2 linked regions of the Coturnix japonica genome follow. The protein of the gene in region 2 interacts with the protein of the main gene of each other region in a pairwise test. Links are inferred from orthologs where the notes say so. Each region holds a gene or a part of one and is shown on either strand. Other genes may lie near its edges. The genes, in order: CHCHD2 and LHX4.

Region 1 (9,101 bases), on a different chromosome or scaffold from region 2:
GCAGCACAACTTCAGCCTTACCTGGTTTCCTTCTCGCTTAAAGTGACCTTCTCGGTGAGGTAGTCGAAGAGCTCCCCCCTCTTCATCCTGCGTGCAGGAGGGAAAATCAGCCTCAAGCCAGGGACTGCCAGGAGTTACTGCCCCTTTGGTGCTCGCTGCACAAAATGACAAGCTGACACGCTAATAGGAAAGGGTTAAAGATGCCTTGATATCTTGCAAAATATCAGGCAGGAGGAGGAAAAGCTGTGCACAGAGCAGGCAGGGTTTGGAAGGGACCAATGGGTTCATCATGATGCCACGAGTTACGGCGCTGTGCCAGCCCTGGTCCTGCTGGGCATATAAATAACCCCAAGCTCCCACCAAAGGTTATGGGGAAACCTGAGCTGCTGCTGATGGAGGGAGCAGAGCTGAGGCTGAGTGAGCAGGCTCCCTCCTACCTCAAGCAAGACCCAGTCGTGGCCCTGTTTTGCCCATTGGGGCCATAGAAAAAAGCAGGGTGGAAATGTGGAGGAATGGAGGCAAATGGGAGCTGGTACTTACAGGTCAAACACCAGGAAGAAGAAGGTGCTGGACTCATAGCTGTCCTTCAGCTGGACTGCAATGAAATGGAGCTGTGAGCTCTGTGCAGTGTGTTCCTCAGCACACACCCCATGCACAGAGAGCTCCTTTCCACTAACAGCCTAAAAATTGCTGATCTAATTGCTAAGTGAATTAACTAATTAAGTGAATTAATTAATGCTTTGATCAGGAGCTCAGGAGGGAGATGGCTGGGCAGAGGCAGAGCAGGGGATGCTCTGAGCAGCTTCTCCACCTCATGCCAGACCATGGATCCCACAGAGCTCTGACATCCATCACCCCAAAGCCCGTCCTGGGTGAACCTCCAAGAGTAAACGTGGCAGAAACCCTCCTGCCCCGACTCACTGACGTTGGGGTGTCCCGAGACCTTGCGCAGGATGTCGATCTCTTTGGCTGTGGCCTCACGCAGCTCCTGCACCTCCTGGGGGGAGATGTTCCCTGCTGTGATGTCGATGATCTTCACCGCATATTCCTGCCTGGTCACTTTGTGGATGCACCGACGGACGACGCTGCTCACCCCCCTGCCAGGAACAGCCCAGGAACAATGAGGTACTTCCCACCCCTGTTTGCATGACATGCTATGGAGGATCAGGATGGAATCGTTTTCCCACAACTGGGAGATGGACCCAATGATCCTTATGGGTCCCTTCTACTCTATGAACTAACAGGGATGCGGTGTGAGCTCCTGGGATGGGTCCTAAGTTGGGGCATCGTGGGTTGGCAGAGGGTTGGAACAGGATGATGTTTAAGATCCCTTCCACCCCAAACCATTTGTCTGGGCTCCCCCCACCCAGCACAGACACACGTTGGGGCCGTGGTGCTTTCCTGGCTCAGGGGGACAAACTTGGTGCAGCTGGAAGGTGCTTCTTCATGCTATTTTTAACCCGTGGGTGGGTGCTGTGGGCTCCCATCAGATCAGATTCCTGTTGTGATCAAGCAAAACATTTTCCCAGAACCAAACTTTACCTGCCCAGAACCTCCTTGGGCTCATATTTTTCATAGAACTCCTTGGATGTGTTCCAGTCCGGGAGCTCCTCCTCCTTTGTCATGGCTGGGTGCTGCCAGGTGGAACTGGGCTGGGGAGAGAACAGCTCTGATGGACCCAAAACATCAACCCATGGCACTGCCCAGGGACCCGCTGAGCTGTGAGATCCACCTCAATTCCTCCCAGCCCTGTTCTTTCTGGTTCTAACACTAATTGTTTTCCCCTGATTATTATGAGAAATCCGTCCCGAATGGCTTTTGGCTGAGAAAAAGTAGGAGAAAATGGCATGAAAAGGGAAGGGAGGGGAGAGCTGGAGCCGCTGCCAGCACGGTGGGGTCAGCTGGGGCCGAGCTGCAGGGTCGGGCAGGGCAACACAATGTGGGTGCCAGCAGCGCCCAGACCCCGAACCTCCCTTTAGAAGCACTTTGTTTCCTTCCCTTTTAAGCTGCTCCTTGCAGGCAATGCTGCCCCACATCTCGTTGTTGACAGCAGCCCCCATTGGGTTGCAGGGCTGGCTGTAGGCTGGGGGCGATCCGACACCGCTTGCTTTGCTTTGGATTAGTAAGCACACCGATTAACGCGTGCTATTAGTACGTTATGCCATAAAACGCAGCTGATGGGAGATTTGGGAGAAGCGCTGACCCCATTTGGGGCTCAAATCCTACGTGCGCGGCGCAGAGAAAACATCGATGGGGGATGGAGAGAATGAGGGGGGTCTCAGTGCGCGCTGAGCTGCACCGCCCTGTATCGCCCCATATCGCCCTCCCGTCCCCCCCGGCGGCCTCAGCTCCCGGTCCGGCCTCACCTCCCCTCGGTTCCCGCAGCGCCGCCGTCTCAGCCGTGCGCCATCGGGGCCGGAAACGGAGCGGGACGGGAGGAGGAGCGCGGGGAGGGGGAGGAGCGGAGCAGCGCTGAAAATAACGCGCAGCGCCGCAGCGGCCCGGAGGATGGTTGGGGTGGGGGGGGGGGTGGATATCTCTGCCCCCGTTATTCCTGTCCCGTTATTCCTGCCCCCGTTATTTCTGCCCCGTCCCTCCACGGCGGGGCGGCCCCAAGCTCTGATTTGATCCGTTCTCTTCCAGGAAATGCTGCACAGAGATGAGGCTCCGAGGAGCCGGTGGGACACAGCGCAGCAGCTCAGGAAACAAGAAGGTATTTTTTAGGGTCTTTGTAAAGGAGTTGTGTTACTGGGGGCTGCGAGTTCCCTTTAAGATGGTGCTTCAGCCATTTTGTCTTGGAAGTGTGTATTGCTACGCAGAGCTTTCATGTAGAGGGATGGCATTTCCTCAGCCTCTTTAAACTGAATACAGAGGACACAGTCAGAACTAGGATGGGATGCGGGCTGACCTGCTGCACACCCAGCATTGCAGTCAGCCATAACCTCCCTCCTCCCCACACTCTGCAATAAGCACAAGTTGCCCCCGGGGTTCAAATAGTGCAGGAAATGTCAGTCACCAAACCCTGAGCCAAAGCTGCTCCTGGCAGCCTGCAGCTCCAGCCCTTCAGCCCTCCCTGCCAGCAGGGCTGGGAACGTGCTCAGCCTGCTAAAATCAGTTCCTGCCCGCTCACCTTCAGAACTCAACTCACCCAGCAGCCCAAACCCCCCCCCAGGGCAAGGTACCTCCATGGACACCTTTATTTGTACACCACCTCGCTCCCATTCAACGCAGTAATTAAGAAATAGCCCCAATCAACTCATTACAATTTATTGATCATTACTTCCATTTTGTGCTCAATTAGTTTGCAGTTGTATCACAGCTGTAGAGGCTACTGCAGAAATGAGGCCACAAAGACAACAGCGTGACTACACGAAAGTAACAAGATATCAGAGAGCTTTAGGCTATTAGCAAAGCTTTTTCATTCATAGGTCAGTTCTTTAAGGTGGTCTTCAGCAGCCTCGGTCTGGAGGCTTAAGCTAAACCTGGAAGGCAAGAAGTTACAGCAGTTAATCATGGGAAGTTTTAGACCCAGAGAGATTTTAGAAGGTTTTAGACTCAGGTGCCCATCCCTGCAGACCCCCAGGGTCAGGCTGGAGGGCTGTGAGCACTGATGGAGCTGTGGGTGTCCCTGTGCATTGCAGGCAGTGGGACCAGATGGCCCTTTGGGGTCCCTTCCATCTCAAACTATTCCATCATCCTGCTATAATGCACACACAGGCTCAGACCTCCCCCCTCACCCCCTGATATTTGCTGACATGATGAAGATTTCAGCAATCCAGACACCTGTGTTTGGAAGCTTCTTGTCCTCCCCCATCAGAGCACTGGGCTGGCACTGCTGTCTACTTACCATTAGCAAACCTGCACTGCTTCAGCACTTCACTGAAGCCCTCGCACAGTTTGAGGTCAGTCTGGTTCTGTGCGCACTCCAGGAACTGCTTCATTTCATACTGGCAAGGAGCAAACTGCTGCTGCTGCTGGTAGGAAGGCTGAGCAGCCTGGGGTTCCTAAAACAGCACACACCTCTGTAAGCACCATGGAGCTGTAATACCCCGTGCTGCTCTCAGTGCACTTCTTCCCTGTGTTTTTGTTACAGAATGTTCCTTTTTAAATGGAAACCTATGGGCCAAAGTACAAAGGTTCCAGTGCTGACATGAGGCGTGCTGAGCAGTTGTGTAGGTTACACACACTGAAGTAAGTCTGGATTGCACCGGAGCAAGGCAACAGCACCGTACTGATGTGCCAATAGCACCGTACTGATGTGCCAATAGCACTGTACTGATGTCTCAGCAGCACAAGAAGTGACTGCAGGACAAAAATCTTGCAGTAGATCTCATCATTACCAGACCTGGAACATAGAAGTCCCCTGTGAATCACAAGGGGATAAAAACAACACGCTGTGTGTGCTGCTATCCATATACACTGCATGTGTGACCCTTTGAACCACTTGAAGTTGGAGGCTGAGTCAAGAACGTTGCTCTAGAATCCCCAGCCAGAGCTTTGTGCAGCTTTTAACCCTGTAGCAACTACTTGGACCTATTGCATGTGCTCTCCCAGGTTAACCCCAGCTCAGCACCCAGCGGTGCCTTCCTTACCTGGTAGGTAATATCAGGCCCCGCGGGCTCAGCGGCACTTCCTCCCCCGAAGCCTCCGGTGATGGCGTGTCCGATGGTGTGTCCCACGGCCGAACCCACAGCGACCCCAGCCGCGGTCGTGGCCATTTGTGCCATCAGCCCGGGCTGCTTTGGGGCAGGAGCGGCCACAGCATTGGCGGGTGCTGGGGCTGGAGCTGGCGGCGCTGCTCTCATCTGCGGCACCCGGCTGTGGGGAAACAGAGACCATCACAAAGGGCTGCGGCCTCCAGCTCACAGAGCAAACAGCGGCAGCTCCAATTCGTGTGACCCCACACACACACAATGCAAGGACGTGGTGTTCCAGGGAGTCATTCACACAGCGCAGGGGCCGTTTGCAGACTGTTTTTCTTTCTTGTTCTCCAACAGATCCTGCCTAACAGCCTACACACCCCATACAGGGCCTTATATAGACCCCATATAGGCCTTATATACACCCCCTATAGGGTTTTATATACACGCCATATAGGGCCTTATATACGCCCCCTATAGTGCCTTATACACACCCCATATAGGGCCTTATATACGCCCCCTATAGGGCCTTATATACACCCCCTATAGGGCCTTATATTCACCCCCCTATAGGGCCTTATACACCCCCCTATAGGGCCTTATATACACCCCATGTAGGGCCTTATATACACCCCCTATAGTGCCTTATATTCACCCCCTATAGGGCCTTATATACATCCCATGTAGGGCCTTATATAAACCCCATGTAGGGCCTTATATGCACCCCCTATAGTGCCCTATATACACCCCCCCATCAAATCTCCCACCCGCTCCACAGCCCCGTCCCATCTGCGTCATCCCCCTCCATGGCTGCGAGGCCTTTGCGGCCTACACGTCCCGCGTGGTGCGGTGTGACCCGATCATTAGCTCTGGTTGTTCGGTCGCCCATTGACGCTCACCTGGCGGGCGGCGCCACGCGGGACGAGCGGCTGCGTCCCCCCCTGGGCATGGCGGGCAACGAGACGGGACGAGAACCGGGACACGAGCGGAACCGAGCAGACACTGAAGGTCAGAACACGCCGCGCTGCGTCACTTCCTCCGCACGGAGGGGCGGGCGCTGGGGCGGCCATAAGGTTGTAACGCTCCCTCCGACCACCAGGGGGCGCAATTCCCCGCCCCTCCCCACACCGACGTTACGTGACGTCGTCGCGAAGCGCCACGTCCGGCGTGTCCTCCCGGGCAGCCAATGAGGTGAAGGCGCGCGTGCGCTGCCGGTGGGCGCCGGGCGCGCGTCGCGGGCTGAGGCGGAGGGAGGGGGTAAGATGGCGGCGCCCGTCCTGCTCAGAGTGTCGGTGCCGCGATGGGAGCGGGTGGCTCGATCCGCCGTGTGTGCGGCCGGGATCCTGCTGTCACTGTACGCCTGTCACCTGGAGAGGGAGAAGGGACGAGATCTGCACTACCAGGCGTTGTGCGACCTCAGCGAGAGGGTCCGCTGCTCCGCCGCCATCACCTCCAGGTGAGGGGGAGAACGGCAGAGAGACCGGCCACAACGGGACGGGAACGGGGAGAAGGGGAAGGGCCGGGGGAGGGAATGAGATGTGGGGGGTGAGATGGGAACGGAGAGATGGGATGAGCGGGAGGAGGATGATAATGATAGTGATGGTGGTGATGATGATGATGATGATGATGAAGGCCTTCAGCCTGGAGAAGAGAAGGTTGCGGGGTGACCTCATTGCGGCCTTTCAATACCTGAAGGGAACCTATAACCAGGAGGGGAGTAAACTCTTGGAAAGAGCTGACAATAGCAGGACACGGGGAAATGGATTTAAGTTAAAAGAGGGAAGATTTAGGTTGGATGTGAGGGGGAAGTTCTTCACTAGGAGAGTGGTGAGGCCCTGGAACAGGCTGCCCAGGGAGGTTGTGGATGCCCCGTCCTTGGAGGTGTTCAAGGCCAGGTTGGACGGGGCCCTGGGCAACCTGATCTAGTAAAGGTGTATGTTTGGTGGCCCTGCCAGGCAGGGGGTTGGAACTACATGATCCTTGAGGTCCCTTCCAACCCGGGTCATTCTGTGATTCTATGAGGGCCTCGTGCTGTGCTGCCCGTTCCCGGCACTGTTTTAGGGCCGCATTGAGGCTATGGGGCAGCACCGGTGGGTGTGAGTCGGCCCGGGGCCCACACAGCACAGTGTGGTGTACGAGGTGTTAACGGCGAATCCAAAGTGCTTGTTCATCGTGCTGTTACCTGGGAGTGTGTAAATACGTGTGTGTGTGATGCACGGGAAGGGATTCATCGAGAGAGGAAAAGCTCTGCTCACATCTTGGCTTATCCTGTGGGATTCCCTGCAGTGATCAACGTGGCAGCTGTTTGCTGAAGGTCGATAGCAGGGCAGGGCTCAGCCTGCTGTAGGTGCAGGCTCTGCTGGGTATCGCTGTGCTGCAGGTCCGGCTGCCTTACAGCCTCAGCTGTGTTTCAGCTGGAGGAATGAGGTGACTGCAGAGCGATGCAGGCTGCTCTGTGTGCAAACAAAGACATACAAGCACGTACATGGGTGGACAGCTGAGAATGAGAGAGTTGGGGTCCTTCAGCAAATGGATGTAGTGAGCACTTCCCTTTTATTTGTTGTGCCTTCAGTCGGATGAATCCTTGAATGTTACGTGGGTTTATCAGGTTTCTTCTTTCTCAGTCATCCCACTCCATACACAGGTATTGCCATAGCAAAGTGGTGGAGAGATGTGAGTGACCTGCTGATGTGGATGCTGGTTGGTTTGTATAGATGAAACATACGTGGAAATCCTTCTGCTGAAATCGGTTCTGTGTGTTGAGTTACAGAGAGATGAATCCGCTGCTGTCTGGAAGGAGGCTGCTGTGGCTGAGTGAGGGCTGTGCCTTTGCCTTTCATTCTGTGGTCAGATGATGTTTAATTTGTGAAGGTGGTTGTTCATGGTGCTGCTTCAGAGTGGTCCAAACACCAGCAGTTTCAATCTAAACAGAAAGAGGACTTCAATACGCTCGCATGGTAACTTCAACTTGTAAATGAGCATTAGGTGTGGGCTGCTGAGGTTAAACCAAGTGAGTATTGTCAGTAATTCACAGTCATTCACCGCCACCATAGAGGTGAGAGGAGGATAATGGGGGTTTCTGAGCCCCCTGTTGTGGTCTGTTCTGTTCTTGGTCCTTCAGGGATTGTTGTTACTGTAAGGAGTGCCCTTGAGATGGGGAATTTCAAATAGCAGATTTAATGTATGTTTACCGAGCGCTTTGCAAAAGCAAAATGGTTATAATCAGAAATAGCTAAAGATATAATTAGAGAATAATGCTGGGTAATTATAGCATTGGTTAGTAATGCCGTGGTAAGACCTGTCAGTACTTCAGTGCAGGAGTTTTAAATAACAATCTGAGTGTTTGGGGATAAGATCCACAAAGATCTGACTTGAAATCTCCCCAGCAGTTGCTAGGAGAGCCCTGCTTAGCGACTGAAGTATTGCAAATGTCAGGGTAGCTCTGGTGGTAATGGAAACAGGTGGTAAGAAGAGTTTGTGGGGAAGGAGCATGCGAGTTCTGTGCAGTCAAACCATATTTGGAGAGGAATGTGCTTTCAGCTGTGTACGGCCACAGGCCAGAAAGGGATATTCCTTTAAAATCAAGACGAGAGGGCAGGCTATGAACCTTTGAAGGAAGGATAACAGTGGAAGAAATTAACCCGACTCTCTGTGCTGCCACAGCATCCCTTCCATCAGTCGCTCTCCTCTCCCCCTCCAATGCGGTGCCTCTCGTTGCTGCCACAATGAGAAACTTCATTCCTAGGAGGAAATTCAGACTTCACCTGGGTAATAGGATTTCAGGTGTGCTGTTCCAGCTTTCTGGTATGCAGCGTGTAGCTCTGGACTCTTCTCATTGAGCTTTCTCAGTGATGGTTGCACAGCTGGTCGTGTGATTTGTTTCTGCAGAGTTAAAGGGGTGACACAGGTGCATGCACAGCTTCCTTCAGTCGTGTGACTTAAGGCAGGTTTGTTAATGGGAGCAATGGGACCTGGAAGGTCAAAATGGTCACATTGCCAGTGATGGCTCCAGCAGGGGATGGAACTTGGATAAAGCACAGTCATGGTATTGGTGTTAACGTGAATTGTATAGGATAATTGGAATAAACTGGTGTATTTTTTCTTTGAGCTCAGTTGGTTTGGAACTCAGTGCTGGTCTTTGGGGAGGATTTTTTTTTTCCTCTAATAAGCTGTTGTTATTCCCAACTCTTGTTTCTGAGCCAAACCTGATATTGGCACAAGGATGAGGAAAGATGTTGTGAAGATTAACAGCACGCAGAGGGAGGAGCATGGGAAATCTGCTATCGGAGACTGACTCATGCAGAAGATTATAGAGGAGAGAGAGCTTCCCAGTGTCCCTTATTATTCTGAACGCTCGTGGTCAGGTGTGTCTCAGGCTTTTATCATGAGGTGGTTTGGAAAGAAAAACAGCTGTGGACTATATAGTGGTCACTGCCGTTATCTAAGTGGTGATAAGACATA
Region 2 (9,018 bases):
GCCAGCTCCGTAAGTGACTTGGAGATCATCAGCTTCATTTCACACCATGATTTTCAGTGGCTGCGACAGTGGGACGTGGGGATGTGGTGCTGACGCTGCTGTGCCCCTGGGCTGGCAATGGGATTGGGCTCCTGGGGGGGTGAGGGGGAGGGCACAGAAAAACATGCTGAGCCCCTTCATTCTGCTGAGCTGGGAAGGTCCACACAGGATTATGGCCACATCCTGCGGGTTGGTGGGGATGAAGGATGGGAGATGAGGCATCAGCCCATAGGAAAACCCCCAAATTCTGCCAGAAAACAGGGCTAGAGCATGTGTGCTTGGAAGCTCATTTTGGGGATGGGGGGAGAGCAGAGGTGGGGGGTGGGAAATGGGCTGTTTGTTGGTTCTTCCATGCGGCAGCCGGGGAGATGGATGAGCTCAAGGAGGGAAAGCAGCGGTGAAAAGAAGGGAGGTTCATCTCATAGCACAGAGTGAATATAAAAAGGATGGGGAAAAAAGGGGTAAAAAGGAAGCGGGGAAAGAAATGAAAACATAAAAATAAATACGGGGAGGTGGTGGTGAGGGGGGGAAGGTTAAATATAAAAGAGGAAAGAAATGAGGAGTGGAGCGGTGCCCCCTCACACGGAGCCGGGCAGAGAGAGCAGCAGCATCGGGGATTTCACGGCTCCATCGCAACTCGCGGTAGGAGGGACGGGGAGGAGAGACGGGGCAGCGTCCCCCGGTACTCACTTGAAGAAATCCTCCTTGCAATAGACGCTGCCGGCTCTGGCGAAGCAGCGCTCGGCCAACTGCATCTGGCAATCGGCGCACTTGAGGCACGAGCTGTGCCAGTGGCGGTCCAGCACCTTCAGGATGAACTTGTCCAGGATGTGTTGGCTGCACCCTGCGCACTGGGGGATCTCTGCGGGGATGGAGGGGAGAACGGCCTCAGCAACGGCGGCACCGCGAGTCGCATCGCGCTCCTGCGTTCCCCGATGGAGAAATGGGGAGTGGGGGGGAAGGAAGGGGGGAGAGAGGAAAACGGGGAGGGGATAGAAGGGCAGAATGAGGGGGAGAAGGGTGATGGAGGGAAAAGAGGTTGGAGAAAGGAAAAGGGGAGGAAAAGAGTAGGGGAAGGGGGAAGGTTAATGAGAAGGAAATAAGGAAAATGGAAAGGAAAACGGGAATGGAAAATGGAAAGGGGGGGAGAGGTGGAAGGGTAAAAGGAAAGGGAAGGAGGGAGGAAAAACGAAGGGAGAAAGAGAAGGGGAGAAGAAAGGAAAAGAGAAGAGGGAAAGAAAATAAAACAGAAAAGAGCAAAAGAAAAGAAAAGGGGAATGGAAAGGAAATGAGGAAGGGGGAGAAGGAGAGGAAAAGAAAATGGAATGGAAAAAAAGAAAGGAACAGAGAAAAAGAAAAGAAAGGGGAGGAGAAGAGAAAAGGAAAAGAAGGGGGGAAAGGAAACGAAGAGAGGAAATGAAAACGGAAAATGTGAAAGAAAAGGGAGGAAAAAAAAGGAAACTAAAAGAGAAGGGAGAAAAAGGAAGGAAGAAAAGAGGAGAAAGAGAATAAGAGAAAAGAAAAGAAGGAAAAAGGCAGAAAGGAAAATAAAAAGGGAAAGGGAAGAAGGGAGGAAAAGGAAATAAACGAAATAAAGGGAAGGAAATAAGAAACGGGGGAAGGAAAGGGAAGCAGAGAGAAGGGGGAAATAAAAGGGTAAAGAAAGAAAAGAAATGTAAAAAAATTAAAGGGGAAAAGGCAAAAAAAATGAAAGAAGGAAAAGAAAAACGGAAAAGGAAAAGGGAAATGAATGGACGGAGAGGAAGAAACTAAAGGGAAGGGAGGAAATTAACATGGGAGAAGAAGGGGAAAGGAAAGAGAAATAAAAGGGGGAAAGAAAGCAAAAGAGAACGAAAAAAGGAAATGAAAAGAAGGGATGGGAGGAAAAGTGGGGGGAAAAAAAAAAAAGGACGGGGGGAGGGGGGGGAGGAGGAAAAAGGCAAAAGAAACGCAACGATAAGGGAAAAAAGATCGATAATGGCAGGAGAGAGGAAAGGAAAAAGGGGAAAGAAAAAGGGGTGAAGGCAAAGGGCGCAGCAGCCGATCGCAGCGGGGCGGTGCAGGCGGCGGGGCCCGGCGGTGGGGCAGCGGGGTGACCCCCAGCCCCGGGGGGGGCATCAACAAACGGCACCGAACGGAGACGCCGCCGATCCCACGGGACCCCCCCACGGCAACGAGGGGAGACAGAACCCCCTGCGTTATCCCCACGGACGGATGAAAGAGAGGGGGGGGGAACGGAGCGCGTCCGGCGCAGCCATGCGGGGACGCGCAGCGCTGGAGGCAGCGGCACCTCCGAGCGTCGGGAACGGAACCAGCCGCGGTGTGTATCGCCATATCTGCCCCAAACAGCTCCGGAAAGAGATCGGAACGTGGACAAACAGCTATTGAAATAAAGGCGTGTTTAGGTTTGTTTTCCAGTAGTTCGGATCATTTCATTTGATCTGATAAATATACACACGCATCTGTGTGTACACAGATCAACACACGTACAGATGCACATGTATATACACATGTGTGTATGCATGTGGATATATGCATGCATACACACACATATATACACACACATATATATTCACACACATATACATATAAATACATACATATATATAAACACACAGGGGCCAATCCGGCCCCACTCCCCCCCACTGCACTGCGAGTTGGCAGCACAGCCCGTTGGTTTTATTCCATCTACAGAGATCGATTTCTCTCTTATTTCTTCTTCTTATTATTATTTCTCATGATCGCCCTATCGATGCATTCGTTTATTATTGTTATTATTATTAATTATTATTTCGGGAAGGTGCTTTAGGCATTACTTTGGGTACGGCAAAAGCTTTGCCGCACGTTTGCCCACCTGCCCCTAAAGAAATAGCGCTGTTAATGAGGGTGTCAATTAGCGCTGGCCGTGGGGGGGTTTATAGGCCCACCCCGCAGCTCTCGGCTCCCCAACGCTGAGCTGAAGTCGATGCAGAATGTCGGGGTTAAGGCAGAAAGGAGCTGTGCGGGTGCGGGGGCCGAGAAATGCGATCTCACAGCGATGGGAAACGAGAACGGCAAAGGGAGCTCATCGCTGTGAGCCGTGATGGGGATGGGGATGGGGGGGGGGGGGGTAAAATAAAACCAAATAAAAAGAATAAAATATTATTATAATGATAGAGCAGACCTGGGGGGAGGTGGGGGGGAGGAGGGGATAGCAGCCCCTCTCCCTGTCTCCGGATCCCGGCCAGAGGCCCCGCACTGATGCCCCTATTTCTCACCTCACGGTTTCCCTATAGCATGGGGGGGTTCCGACACGGTGCCTCCGCTGACCCCCCCAGTCCCCACGGAGCCCCGCAGCCCGCACTGAGAGGCGGCCCCATGCAGCCCCTCCACCCCCCCATCCAGCAGCACCACGGGAACTTCGGCAGCACAAACACCGCTATTTCACCACCGATTTGTTGCGCTGAAATACACGAGAAGAACATCTCGTTCGCTGCTCCCTGCTGCGGGCAGAAGCAGAGAGACAGCCCCACATCGGGCTGGGGGTGCGGATGGGGCACTGCCCCCTCCCAGTACCGGACCCCCCCGATACAGCGGGACGCTCCGCTTCTCCGGAACCGTTTACGAACGGGGTGTGGGGGGAGGGGGAACCGTGAAAGCAATAATCGATGATAACGGCGATAATAAACACGAATGCGAATCATAAACGCTAACAACGATAACAAATAGAACCGAACCGAGACCGGCACTGCTCGCACCCTCCCCCCCTCCCATTACACCCGCACGGTGTCCCCGCATACAGCCGGACGCTCACGGCCCTCCCGGGGGGGGCACCCGGCTCCTCGCCACCTGTAGCTCTGCAGCACGTACCGATGGATGTTCGCACCGACAGACCGGAGGAGGCTCGGGGCCTCGTGTCGCGACATACAGCGACAGCGGGGGCACCGCTGCAGCCCCGTGCACACGCACAGCCGCCCCGACCGCCCCGACGGGCCCCCCCGGCTTCACCGAGCAGAACACGGGGGGAAACGAAAGGGTGGGAAACGCGACCGGGGGACAACGGGGAGGGAACGGGGAAGAGAAACGCGTCCTTACGTTGTACCGGCACCCCGAGGATCTCCGGCAGCCCCTTGACAGCCCCTTCGGCAGCGAGCGCTGAGCTTTGCATCATTTTATTGGCCCGGGGGCGACGGAGGGGAGAGAAGAGGGGAGAGAAGAGGGCAGGGAGAGGGCAGCGGGCCGGGCCCCGGACACGAGCAGCACCAGTTGGAGCCGAGCCGTCCCGGTGCCGGTGCCGGTGTCGGTGTCGGTGTCGGTGTCGGTGCCGGTTGCGGCCCGTTGCGGTGCCGCAGCTGTGCCGGCAGCTCCGCCCGCCTCCCATTCATTGCCCTGCGGGGAGCGCGCCTGACGTCACCGCCCGCAGGGGGCCGGGGGCGGGGCCTGCCGCTCTCCGCCAATCACCGCACGCCGCACGCCTTAGGGGGCGGGGCCTGAGGGCAGAAAGGGGCGGGGCGTAGTGGTTGTGGGCGTGGCTTGAATGAAAGGGGCGGGGCCTGAGCGCGCCACGCCCCGGGAGTCCGGAACCTGCGGAGCGTGGACGGAGATATCGCGACATGGGGCTGTCGGGACATGGCGCCGGGCAGCCGGGCCGTGAGCGGCCGAGAGCAGAGGGGCAACGCAGAGCGGGGCGATGCCGAAGGGCTGGGGCCGGTCGGTGCCGGTGAGCGGGGCGCGGGAACGACGAAACCCCCCAGATCTCCCGCGGGGAGCGGGGCCGGGCACTGACACAGCCCGGCAGCGGATCTGCCCGGCCAGGGGCTGCTCTGCGGGGCGGGAGGAGCCGCACGGAGCAATGGGACCTGCGGGCAGGAGGGCATCCCTGTACCCATCCCTGTACCCATCCCTGTACCCATCCCTGTATTCATCCCTGTATTCATCCCTGTACCCATCCCTGTACCCATCCCTGTACCCATCCCTGTATTCATCCCTGTACCCATCCCTGTACCCATCCCTTACCACATCCCTTACCCCCATCCCTTACCCCCATCCCTTACCCCATCCCTTACCCCATCCCTTAGCCCCATCCCTTACCCCCATCCCTTAGTTCCATCCCTTACCCCATCCCTGTCCCCCATCCCTTTCCCAGGCCGTTCTCCAAACGCCGCTGCCGGAGTCACGGCGCTCTGCCCCCCCCGCTCCGGAGGGCTCCGATGGATCCTTCTGCCCCAACGCGTCCCCTTCTCCCGAGGGGGTTCCGTTCTCATTCCGCATATCGGTACGGACCCCCTCCCTGCCGCCATCTGCATCACCCATCCCCGCATCGCACTGGTGCCCCATGACCCCCGCAGCACCTTCCACGCATCACCTCTATCCTCGCCCCGCTCCGTTCCCTCACGCACCTCCCTCCCCTCGCCCATCTATTCCCCTTCGAATCGCTTTGGGGCTCATTCCCCCCGGTGCCCTGAGAAGGCGTCAAGGTTGGATAATCCCATCCCTTTCACCCCCCCCCCCAAGTGGGAAGGAGGTATCCGGACCCCCCGCATCCCACCCCCATTGCATGGAGAAATCACAGAGCGGACACTTACCGGCGGCTGGAGAACGCGGGTTGTGCCGAGCAGGGCGCTGTTAATTTTAATAGGGGTTTAGCAGACATGAAGGGTGTCCCCCCCACCACAATCCCCAGCCCCGCTATTTTATGGCCGGAGAGGCTCCTGCCTGCATCGAGGTGGGAAAGGAAAGAGGGGAGAAAGGAAGCGGCGGGCGGCAGCGAGCCGGGGGGGCGGCTGGCCCAGGAAAATTAAATTGCACTTGAGGGCAAATTCTATTAGGGAATAGCGACTGTCTCCCATCAGCCTGCGCCATTTGGGTAATTACCGGCGATGGGAAGGGGCGGCCCCGGGGGGATATGCAGCACAGCCCCCCCCCCATCCCTCATCTCAGCCCACCTGTGAGCACGGCACAACGCGGCGCTGCCCCACCGCAGCGGCCACTTTGGGTGCCCATCGGCGTGTGTGGGGGGGTCCCCAGCGCTGCTCCTTCCGCGAGCATCGGGCCGGCACCAAACAGGATTACGGAAAGTCTATTTACGGGACTCTCTTTTTCCCTGCGTGCGTGGCGGCTTTAGCTCCCAGCACCGCAAATCTCCCCCCACAGCGGCGATCTGGGCAGCCTCCCCCACCCCCAGCGCATCATCTCCCACCGCTGCTTTAGGGTCAGGGAGGGGGTGCAGAGGAGCATCTGCTTCCAGGAGAGGTGCCCGGGGTTGGGTGGGAGGGGTGAGGGATGCTGGGGATGGGCACCTCCCCCTCCAGGGAAATCAAGGAGAAGGAGGCAGCGGCGACAGACGATTTATTTCAAGGGCAGGAGGATGGGCCCGTAGCGCTGCCGGCCCTTCTCCTCCCACCTGGGCAAAGTGAAGATATCAAGAAAATGGCTCCAAATCGGATTGACACCCCCCTCACGCACACCCCCCTAATAAAGTTTATTATCAGCCGGGCTCTAATCCCTTTAAATCCCCGCACGGGGGGCAGGGCTGGGATTAGGGGAGGGCTGCGTAATCCCAATGAATTTGTTACAGGGGGGATTTAGGCAGCGCCAAAGGAGCAGATGGCCGCGGCCTCGGAAAACAACCATTTTCCTTAATGATTCCTAACAAGGATAAAAGGGCAGGGAGAAACGGGGCCAGAGCCCGGCCCAGGTCCCGGTCCCCGGGGACGCTCCTGCGTCCTGCCCAGGGCACAGCTGCAGCCCCAGCACTGGGGCCGGTTTATTGCCAGCTCCTTTTCCTTGCGTCCTCCCCCGCGCTGTAGGGGTTGTCCGACCACTTGGGGACACTGCAGCCCCGGGGATGTGGGGCTGGACGCATCCCGAAGCAAGAGAACAAAATAAGGGACGAACCGACAGCACCGTCGGCAAAAATAATTTATTCCACTAAGACAAGCAGAGAGCGAGCAACGAGATGGGGAGGGGGACAAAACCCACCCCCAGGGCCCCCACAGGCAAAGGGGGAATAGCAGGGGGGGACCAGCGTGATGCTCCTGGCCCCAGGAGCCTCCTGAAGCAGGAGGCTGCCCCAGCACAGGACCGGGCTGCCCAGTCCCTGCAGAGGACAACGGGGTACCGGGACCCCAACCAACATCAGCATCACAGCCCCAGGGATGTGGCACACAGAGGGAAACCCCCCCTAAAAAAAACCAGCAAAACCTCTGCCCTGGGCAACGCGAGGAGGAGCCCCGCAGCCCCGGGGGGTGGGTGGGGGTCCTGCAGCCCACAGGGGGTCCCACTTGCTCTCATGGTACGGGGAAGCCAGAACGGCCCTTCCGTGCGCGGGTGCGGAGTCGGAAGAAGGTGTACATGCCCAGGAGGCACATGGAGGAGAGGAAGTAGAGCGCGATGCAGAGGCTGACGTCCAGGCGGGAGAAGCCCAAGCCCAGCACCCGCAGCCAGGGGCTCCTCCTCAAGCCCCCCTCCTCCCCTTCCTCACGGCTCTGGGGCACTTGCAGCCGCTCCCAGCCGGCGTTGTGATGCAGGGCGATGGTGTCCCTCTTGCTGAGCCGCCGGTGCCGGCCGGCTGCCCGCAGTGCCTTGCTCTTGAAGTGCTGGTCACTGAAGGAGTCCAGGTCCACGATGTCCTCCCCCAGCGCCTGCAGCCGTGGGTTCCTGCGCACGATGCTGGGACGGCGCAGCTCCGAGGAGCCCGGCCGCCCCGTCTCGCCCTCCCTGTCGGGCTTCTCTGTCTCCTTCTCTCCCTCCTCTTCCTCTTTCTCTTCCCGGAGGCCTGCAGTGCCCAGCCTGGCACTCGCCGCCGCCTCCTCCCCAGACCTGGGGATGGGGACGGCGTAGTCCAGGAGGAGGTTGCCCGGGGAGAAGTGCTCCTTGAGGAAGCTCAGCACAGCCGCCTCATCCCACGTGTGCACGCCCTGCTCCTCCCGGTGGCAATGTGGACACATGTCTGGCGGAGGCCACTGCAGCTTGGGGAACTGGGGGTCCTCTGTGTCACTACCTGGAAGGGGCAAGGAGTGAGAGGTGCCCTATGCAGCAGGGACAGCACAGCCCCACATTGTGCACCCCAGACCTGTGAAGGAGTGGGATGCTTATGGGGAGCCCAACAGCTCTGATGCCACACAAACATATGCTACAGGATATCCCACTGCTGTGGGTCCCCTCATCCTAAAGGAGCTGTTGACTGACCAAACACAACAAGGGATGCCCTGATTGTCCCAGCTTCCCACCCTTAAGAAACCACCCTGGTGCTCTGCTCCCTGCACCCCCAGGGACCACTGTGCCGCCCCTTCTCCCCCCCATGACAGTCCTGTACCTGCCAGGCGTGCGTTGACCTCGTTGTGGTGGGACCAGAGCCAGAGCACGGCCTCATCCCGGCTCTTCACCTGGTCCATGGACTTGGCTGCCATGGCCTCAAAGTGCTGGGCACACTCCTGGCAGCCAAAGAAGTGCTTGACGTAGCAGCGCATGGTGTTCAGCACCTCCAGCGGCAGCTCTAGGGGAGAAAGAGGGTCAGAGGGTTGTGAGGAGGAGGGTGGATGAGTCAGGAGCCCACAGAGCCACATCACCCACAGGCCATCCCCTATTTCCCCCAGGATGAAGCACCCCTCATCCCACTACCTTGATCAGGGCCGGCTTGGGCAGCCTGAACTGTCAGCAGGTGGAAAACGGTCCAGAGCCCACAGGGGTAACCACGGAAATGGGGCTCGCTGCCCCTGCAGCCCACCCAGGTGACGTTGGTGGGGAGCACGGAGGTGGGGGAGGCCTGCAGGACAGATGGATGCAGTGTGACTGAGATGTTGGGTGGGATGGGAGTGGGATTAAGGGTGTGGGGGGTGCCTTACGTCCTCCTTATTCTTCACCGCCTCCTTCAAGGCGCTGCGGGGCAGCTCAGGCTCCGTCCAGTTCCGCAGCCAGCTGTCCAGGGACTGCAGGAAGGTCTGCACCGAGGGGCGCCCGGGGAAGTACTGTGCCAAAAACAGGGGGACAATGTGGTGA

The links.
Region 1: the proteins of LHX4 (region 2) and CHCHD2 interact in binary tests that used the Homo sapiens proteins (3 or more experiments, as listed by UniProt). The two-hybrid records come from large-scale screens. The link is inferred for Coturnix japonica from reciprocal best matches to the Homo sapiens genes LHX4 and CHCHD2.

What each region holds. Positions count from the first base shown.
Region 1 is NC_029534.1:3,738,123-3,747,223, forward strand, and holds CHCHD2 (coiled-coil-helix-coiled-coil-helix domain-containing protein 2), read right to left. Parts: upstream 5,692-9,101; 5' UTR 5,590-5,691; coding exon 5,540-5,589; intron 4,819-5,539; coding exon 4,593-4,818; intron 4,005-4,592; coding exon 3,848-4,004; intron 3,483-3,847; coding exon 3,472-3,482; 3' UTR 3,252-3,471; downstream 1-3,251. Other genes in the region: PHKG1 (phosphorylase b kinase gamma catalytic chain, skeletal muscle/heart isoform), read right to left, coding at 22-87, 541-595, 922-1,097, 1,543-1,625; VKORC1L1 (vitamin K epoxide reductase complex subunit 1-like protein 1), read left to right, coding at 5,903-6,096. UniProt on the Homo sapiens protein: Transcription factor. Binds to the oxygen responsive element of COX4I2 and activates its transcription under hypoxia conditions (4% oxygen), as well as normoxia conditions (20% oxygen).
Region 2 is NC_029523.1:5,729,560-5,738,577, reverse strand, and holds the start of LHX4 (LIM/homeobox protein Lhx4), read right to left. Parts: upstream 4,350-9,018; 5' UTR 4,190-4,349; coding exon 4,114-4,189; intron 902-4,113; coding exon 730-901; intron 1-729. Other genes in the region: QSOX1 (sulfhydryl oxidase 1), read right to left, coding at 7,308-8,020, 8,336-8,515, 8,641-8,785, 8,865-8,987. UniProt on the Homo sapiens protein: May play a critical role in the development of respiratory control mechanisms and in the normal growth and maturation of the lung. Binds preferentially to methylated DNA.